2 linked regions of the Oryctolagus cuniculus genome follow. The protein of the gene in region 2 interacts with the protein of the main gene of each other region in a biochemical or structural test. Links are inferred from orthologs where the notes say so. Each region holds a gene or a part of one and is shown on either strand. Other genes may lie near its edges.

The links. The genes of interacting proteins can lie anywhere in the genome.
Region 1: of the proteins of SIK2 (region 2) and CRTC2, one has a biochemical effect on the other in vitro, tested with the Homo sapiens proteins (2 studies listed by BioGRID). The link is inferred for Oryctolagus cuniculus from reciprocal best matches to the Homo sapiens genes SIK2 and CRTC2.

Annotation. Positions count from the first base shown.
Region 1 is NC_091438.1:44,411,574-44,415,563, reverse strand, and holds the start of CRTC2 (CREB-regulated transcription coactivator 2), read right to left. Parts: upstream 2,801-3,990; 5' UTR 2,553-2,800; coding exon 2,400-2,552; intron 2,370-2,399; exon of another isoform or gene 2,121-2,369; intron 1,583-2,120; exon of another isoform or gene 1,501-1,582; intron 1-1,500. UniProt on the Homo sapiens protein: Transcriptional coactivator for CREB1 which activates transcription through both consensus and variant cAMP response element (CRE) sites.
Region 2 is NC_091432.1:103,539,607-103,543,703, forward strand, and holds the start of SIK2 (serine/threonine-protein kinase SIK2), read left to right. Parts: upstream 1-1,297; 5' UTR 1,298-1,314; coding exon 1,315-1,660; intron 1,661-4,097. UniProt on the Homo sapiens protein: Serine/threonine-protein kinase that plays a role in many biological processes such as fatty acid oxidation, autophagy, immune response or glucose metabolism.

The DNA of each region.
Region 1 (3,990 bases), on a different chromosome or scaffold from region 2:
GGATTGTGCTACTCTCGGGCAGCGCCTGGCACTGTGCTGGGCCTGCCTCACTTGGAGTCAGTATAAGCAGAGTCCCTGAGGGGCTGTCAGGAGCTCCAGGCTAATCACAGGGAGGGGTGTCTATTATGCACCTCTGCTTTCCTCTCCAGATGCGTTCAGGACTAATTGGAAGAGAAGAGCGAGGCCACAGGTGGATATCAGAGTCATTACTGCCAGCCTCTTTCCTTCCCACTCCGGAGAGCACGGGCTCCTGGGCTCAGTCACTTGCCCAGCCTCAGGAAGGCTACACAGCTTGTACCTCCAGAACTGGACTAGCCAAGGGATGATGGCCCTCCTAGCCAGAAAACAGTGCCAAAACCAAAAGGCACACTTCCACTGACTCCTAAGATCCTGACTTGGCAGGGAAACCTGGCGAAAGGAAGTCGGAGAAGGAGCAACAGACCACTCCAGCCAAGACTCGTCATCTCCCCGGCCTCATCTCTGCTTTGGGGAGATACATCTGATACAGGGGTGAGGTCCCTCAACCCTCGGCCTGGCATGAGTGTAGTCTGCCTAGAGATCTCATATGCCCCTGTGAGAGCTGAGTATCCACTGCCAAGTCTCGGCCACTGCCACCAGCCAAATAAAAAGACCCAGGGCTATGGAGAAGTAAATTCTAAGAGCTTCCGGGGTTGCACTGCTGTATATAAGCCAACACAAGAAATGCCCTTCTGTTCCAGGATGTCAGAAATGCTGACCTCGGGGTCACTCCAAGACCACTTTTGATAGATACAGCAATGCCAGCCTGTCAGCAACACAGGACCCCATGGCCATATCTGTCTCAAGTGGGCTCTCGCAGCTGGCCAGATAACAAGCTGAGCTCCAGGTCTCTTATTTCTCACTCTAGAATCTGGGGTCCCCAGGCCTTGGCTATGTGTGTCCACTAGACTTTTCCGTGTGGCAGAGGCATGGAGGGCAGAGGGGGTCTTTTGATAGACTGAGGCACCACAAAGACAGAAGCCTGTGCTTTGGGTTTCTCACAGCTTTTCTCTGTTTGCACACATAAGCCCTAGGATCCTACCCGGCCTCTGCTGGAATCCCAGTCCAGAGGGCAGGGCCTGAACTGTCAACCAGAGACCAGCCTGTCTCCCATCTTGTGTCTGTCCCCACTATGATCAAATCTCTTAACGGGGAGCAGCCAACAGTTAGACCACAATCCTCATGGTAGTGAGGATGGGTTATGCTTGTGCATGCACACACATACACTCTGCTTCGCCACCTAACTTTCTCTGTTCTGACTCCCACAAACTAGGGCACATGGTCCCAAGAGACACAAAGAGGAAAAAACACACAAAAACCCAAACACACCCAAGGGAAACACACACAAAAATACAATCAAAGTCACAGTCATAGGCTGATGTAATCACAGAAAAAGCCTTGAAGTGTGTTATTTATGCTCCACCATCTCCCATTAAATTCCTTCCAGCTCTCTGCAATGAAGGACCCCTGCACTCTCCTCACCTGCTGTTTTGATATGTCCCTAAATTAGGACTGCATGCCAGTAGGACAAATCCCCAACCCTTGCTTCTTCAGACGTCCAGCCCTGGGAAGCAAGAAATCAAGGCGGGGGCTTCAGTGGCAGCCTGGCAAAGTTTTCTGGAACGCCTAAGGAACGAATAGCCCCTGCACATGGAGGACCCTCCAAGGTACCCCATAAGCTGACCTACAGTCAGCCACTGCCCTAGGAGGCTCAGCAAGTCATCCGGCTCCACGCAACCTGTTTCTGGGATTCAAAGCTCTAGTCTCCTCCAAGGCCAGAACACCAGGCAGCAGTCTGTGAGCGATGGACCTCACCTTCCTTCACATCAGGAAACCACAAGAAGTATTTGAAAAAGGAAGCAAAGGGACGGGACGCAGGAGGGGACTTCCTGCCCCACCGTACCCAGCAGTGCGCGTTCACACCACTCAAGGGGCCTTTTCCTGGAGGTACCAAAGCGCCAAGAGTGGCACAGCAGGGCAGGAGAGGAGTCCGTGGGGATTACAAACTCAAAGGAGCCAGATTAGCAAGCCGACCATCCTCCCGAGATGCCTCGGAAGAGTCCCCTAGGGAACTCCGTCAGGGATGCACAAGGACCACTCACCTCCTCCTTCCGCCAGATTTCGGGCGACCACTCTCCGCCCACTCCTGCCTCACGTACTGGCCCCCTCGCAATCCCACTCCCCCAACCTCTCCAGTGTTTCCGACTCTTCCCGCAAAATCCGTCTTCCTGCCCGTCGGCCCTCAACCTCACGCTTCCCAGACGGCGGCGCCCGCTGCCCGTGCCACCTCCTCGGCTACGGCTCCCGCCTCCGCCCCGCCTCTCCGACCTCCGCTCGGGAACTACTCCACTCCGCTCCCGCTCCCCAGCGCGGCCCCTCACCCGGGTGGAGCCGATGTCCATCATCACCTCCTCGAAGGCCGCCGTCTCCTCGGCCTGACGCTGCTTCTGCAGCGCAATCTTCTCACTAAACTTGCGCGGATTGGAAGCCGAGGTGGTGGCCGAGCCGGGCCCGTTCGCTCCTGACGTCGCCATCTTCCTCTCCCGTCCCTCCCCGCCACCTTCCCAGTACAAGCCGCGGCCTTTGCCGCGGGCTCCGGCCCGGCTCCTCCAGCCGTAGCCGCCGCCGCCGCCGCCGCCGCCTCAGCTAGCACCGCGAACCCGGCCCCAGCCTAGTCCTGACCTGCTGCGCGCAGGGCCCGCCGGGAATTGTAGTTTGTTTACGTGACTCCTTCACACCCCCCCAGTTACGCAGCACGGAGAGGAAACGGACACCATTTCCCAGTAGCCTTGTCGACTCCGGGAATTGGGGACCTTGCTCCACCCACTTGGCTACTCCCTGCGCGGAGCAAGCTGGGAAACGTAGTTCTCAATTAGTCCGGAGCACAGGATTAAGGAGAGGAAAGGGAAGAGAAAGGAAAGGAAAAGAAGGGAATGGAAGGGGTGGAGACAGGGAGGGGCCAAGTAAGAGACAAAGGAGAAAAAACCTGGTCATCTTCAGGGAAGGGGACTATTGGGGCCAGAGTGAAAACACTGAGAGCAAGTATCTTAAACACCTGTAAACATCTGGGACGCAGGTCCTCTCAAGCAGCCACACACTAATCCCTTTCCCAAGACAAACGAATCGAATACAGCACAGATGTATAAACATTTTTTATTTGGGTAACATATCCCAAAACAGGTCAGTTAGTAAAATAGATTCTAGAGAATACAGCCCTATGCATAGTCCTCCCTCCCCAAAAATAACCCTGGTAGGTAGGAATCTGCCTACCCACTTGGGCTCCTCCGGTATATATATATATATTAAAAAAAAAAAAAATTGGTAGCTCAGTGTTTATCATTTGTGCCTGGGGCACCATGTCCATGTTCCATATTCCTAAGGTGCAGCAGTGGTAGGTGGCCCCAGCTCTCCAACAGTCCCCTGACCCACAGCCCAGCAAACATTTCTGCCCTCTACCTCCCCCAAGGATCTGGGACCAAAAGAAAGCAGAACCCCTCCACGGAGGCGCTGGTCAGGGCTCACTGCCACATCACTGTGCTTTGAGAAAGAGGGAGGGAAGCTATTTGGCACTTTAGAAATAGAGGAGTGGGCAGAACTGGAGATGCCCTAGAAGGTACCAAAACTGGTAAGGAGAGACCATTTGGCACTAATCCCCTGGGAGAAGGGAAGAGGGAAACTTATTTGAGTACAAGATTAGGGAAGTATGAGGGGCCCACTTCAAGTGGCAGGTGCTGAAGTTGAAATGGGCTAAAACCAACAGGGCACTGACTCTGGGTCCATGTCCTCCCCATCTGCTTACCCCATAGCAGCGGGGTGCCTACCTCTGGCTTTCCTAGTGTCAGTCTGTCCCTATCCATAGTCCCTGACCAGTCAGTGTCCTCTGATCATCTCTCTAGTGACTTAACTGTCTCGCTTCTTGGGCCAGCCTTTGCCCCACTGCCTTCTCATTTCATTGAACGAGATATCCCAAAG
Region 2 (4,097 bases):
AAGCTTTCTCTTTTTCTTTCGATATATCCTCCTTGACATACAAGAAATCTCTGGCATAAGAGATTGAAATCTCTTGGAATACTTTCCTTGTCTCTGCCCTGGAATCAGCCATTTCACCAAGAGGCAGAGTTCCTCGTGGAGAATGGTATTCAGAAACAAGATCTGAGGGACAGCACTGTGGCACAGTGGGCTGAGCCACCATCTGCAATGCTGGCATCCCATATGGGCACCCGTTCCAATCTCACTGCTCCACTTCTGATCCAGCTCCCTGCTAATGCACCTGGGAAAGTAGCGACAAATGGCCCAAGTGCTTGGGCTGTTGCACCCACGTGGGGCACCCAGTGGAGTTCCAGGCTTCTGGTTTCTGTCTGGCGGTTGCCGCCACTTGGGGAGTGAACCAGTAGATGGAAGATTTCTGTCTCTCCCTCTCGCTCTGCCTTTCAAACAAGTAAAATAAATCTTTTATAAAAAGGAAAGAAAGAAAGAAACCACGATCCTGGGAGTAATCTGGGGAGTACATATTTCCGGATATTAAAATACCAACTGTCCCTATTTCTTCGAGGCATTCTGTAGTGATTTACAATCCTAACTCTATCATGACCTGTGTGATCCTGGCAGATCCCCTCATTGCTAGCAGCCTACCTCATCATCTGAAAAGAGATTGGATTAGTAAGTAATTTCTTAACCTTTTCAGGGTCGCCAACACGTTTGGGATTCTGAATGGAGCTATGGTCCCATTTCCCCAGAAACACGCTCACATAAAGCAAAATGTTGCCTACATTTCAGGCAGCTCCAAGTTCCGAAGCCAGTTTGAGGCTGCAAATCCCGGGACAGAGTGTTCTCTTAGGGTCTCTTCAACGCTGCTGCTGTGAGAACGACTCCACGGAGACACCCAACTGTGGAGGGATTTATATAGCAAAGGACACAAAGGAACCTGTGAGCAATGCATTGCTCAGCCACAGTTCTTTGCTGCTGCCAAATTGAGGACGCGCTGTACTCCGAGGCGAGAGGTTTTGGCGGGAAGGTCCCCAGGTGGGCGGAGAACGCCTGGGCGAGGAAGGAGCGCACAGGCCGGATTCGGGTCGCTGCACCCCTCCGCACCGCCCACCAGGGCTCGCTCTTGCCCTTCCGCTGGAAAGCCTAGCGACGGGGCGGGCCCGGCTTGGACCCCGCCCCCGGCAGCGCGAGGCGCTGGGGAGCCGGCGGGGCGCCAGAGCCCGGAAGGAACGCGCCGGCCAGGCCCCGCGCCCCTCCCCGCGCACCGTCCCTCCCACCCTCCCGCCCGGCGCCGACGTCGGCGGTGCTCCGGTCGCCATGGTGACCAATCGAGACCCGGTCCCGCCCCCGCCCTCCTCCCGGCCCCCTGACGTCGGTGCACGTCAGCGGCGGCGCGCGCCTGGCTGGGCCCTGTGGAGCGGGAGGGAAGGAGCGAAGGAGCGAGCTGAGCGGCGGTCGCCAAAGCCGAGCCTCGCTGCCCGCCCGCCCGCCCGCGCTCCAGTCGCCGTGTCTAGCAGCGGGGCCCAGCATGGTCATGGCGGATGGCCCGAGGCACTTGCAGCGCGGGCCGGTCCGGGTGGGGTTCTACGACATCGAGGGCACGCTGGGCAAGGGCAACTTCGCGGTGGTGAAGCTGGGGCGGCACCGGATCACCAAGACGGAGGTGCGGCCCGGGGTTCGGCGGGAGCGTCTGAGGCGAGGGTTCGGGAGAGGAACTGTTTACCGAAAAGGGTGGCTGCAGCGGTGGGGCCGGGGGGGGGGGGGCACGAGGCCGCGCCACTCGCTCAGGCGAGCGGGCCTGGGGCCGCGAGGACCCAGGAGGTGCAGGGTATCGGGGCCGGGCTCCCCCGGACTCCGGCGCCGTCCGAATGGCAGCCCGACCAGCTGGGGCTTCGCTTTCCCCCTCGCCGCCTCCGGTGGCCACTCGGAATTTCGCCTCGAGCCTCCCACCCGGGCCGTGACCTGGTCTGTGGCCTCCGCTCCGCAGCCCAAGTTCCGCGTCTTCCCTGCTTTCGGCGGGGGGTGGGGTGGGAGGGGAAGTCTCGGTGCTCCGGGACTGCGCCGTGAGAGACGGCGCCCGCTCGCAGACGGCACCGGCTGCGCTCGGGCTGCGCGGCCGGGAGGACCGCGCGCCCCCCTGACCCCGACGGCCCGGCCCTGCCCGGCGAGGAAGGGGCCGGGGGGCCGGGTGTAGGCACTGGCAGTCTCCTCTCGCTCCTCTCGCCCCGCAGTGTCTCTGGTGTTGAGTGTCTGGCGAGCTTGATCAGTTGCCTGAGGCATTTCCATCTAATGCTCCAGACAATAGAACTGGTTAAAATGGTCATCTGCGTTTGCACCGTTGGTGGGTTAGCCTCTCTCTGGCTCAGGGGGTGTCCCCTTGGCCAGTGGGCGTTCTGGCCGTGAATGCGCATTCCTGAAGCCACATCGGATTCTGTCCGCTCCCCGAGCCCTCGGCGGCTTGCTGACGGGCGCAGCCCGCATCCCCCTCCGGCGCACATTCGAATGCACCACACATAATTCCTCCCGAGTCTCTTTCTTACCTAACCCGCCCCCCTTCCTTCCACTGCCTGAAGCTCCTCTCCTGAGGTCTCTATTTTAAAGACGCGCACATCAAATATCTTAGGAAAACGGTCGAGAGACACCCATTCTTTGAAATAAAACCTGCCGGTTTGGATGTACTCTGTTCTCATTGTGGCAGCCACTGGGTCGTGATGCTTTTTCAGCCCGCCCCACACGACCATCTCATTTTTCGGTTTTTTCCCGGTATTAGTATGAATACACTGGAGTTTGAATGTGGAGTAAAGTAGAACTTTTTTTCCCCCCCAGAATGACTTATGTAAGGCGAAGGTTGTTTGAAAACTTGAGTGATTTTTGTGGCTGTTGCTGTGCTTGGAAATTTTGCCTAACGTCCATTGCTTTTTGGAGTCTGTGTCATTCTGTCATCTCCACGTTTTGCTTCCCCTGCTGATCCTGAAGCAACCTCCATTGGACCTATTTTTTTAGCGTGAGGACCAAGGTCACAGATTTTCCTCTTACAGATTTACAACTGTTGGCAGTTTAGGTTAAGTTTGGAATGATAGTGATAGTTTTACTGTAGTGACATTACCGAATCTTTCTGTAGCTTAATCCCATCCCAGCATTTTTAAAAATGAGGAAAGTGGCTCCATTCCTCTGAAGAGCGTGTCTAATGCCATGCTGTCCTCCCTTGCACGCCATAAAAAGAAGGCATTTTAGATGCACGTTTTTGCAGGAATCCTGACTTAATGGCTTTGTAAAACTCCAGTTGTGCCTCACAAAGGGGTTCTAGGGAACTTCTGATCCACGTTATTTTGTGAATTATAAACTCATCTGTTCCTTTTTTATTTTTTTGTCACAAGCTCCTATTGGTACTAACAGCAAGATTTAATAAAGTCAACTGTTATTTATCAGGTCAAATTTAGTTAGCATGCGGTATCTGTGGGTACTTAAGTGGAGCTGGTAGTGCCTGACACTTTCTCTTGAGATTGTCGGTTCCAATGGTGTCCTTTTTAAGCGTACATGTCTTAGAGAGCTAGGGGGCACTGTGGAGTAATAGAGTCGTTTAGTTATTGGTAGTGTGAGATCAATGCATTTATAATTGAAGACGGCAACCAGATGGTGCAAGAGCACTCAGATCCTAAATTGTCTGTGTAGTATGTAAAATGATTTAAGTTAAAAGTCACTGTTTTAGTCCATGGGACCTGTCTTGTGCATTTTATTATTATTATTATTTTTTGACAGGCAGAGTGGACAGTGAGAGAGAGGCAGAGAGAAAGGTCTTCCTTTGCCGTTGGTTCACCCTCCAATGGCCGCCGCAGCTGGTGCGCTTCAGCCAGTGCACCGCGCTGATCCGAAGCTAGGAGCCAGGTGCTTCTCCTGGTCTCCCTTGGGGTGGAGGGCCCAAGCACTTGGGCTATCCTCCACTGACCTCCCGGGCCACAGCAGAGAGCTGGCCTGGAAGAGGAGCAGCTGGGACAGAATCGTGTGTCCCGACTGTGACTAGAACCCGGTGTGCCGGCACCGCAGGCGGAGGATTAGCCTATTGAGCCGCGCGCGGCGCAGCCAGCTACATCTTGTGCATT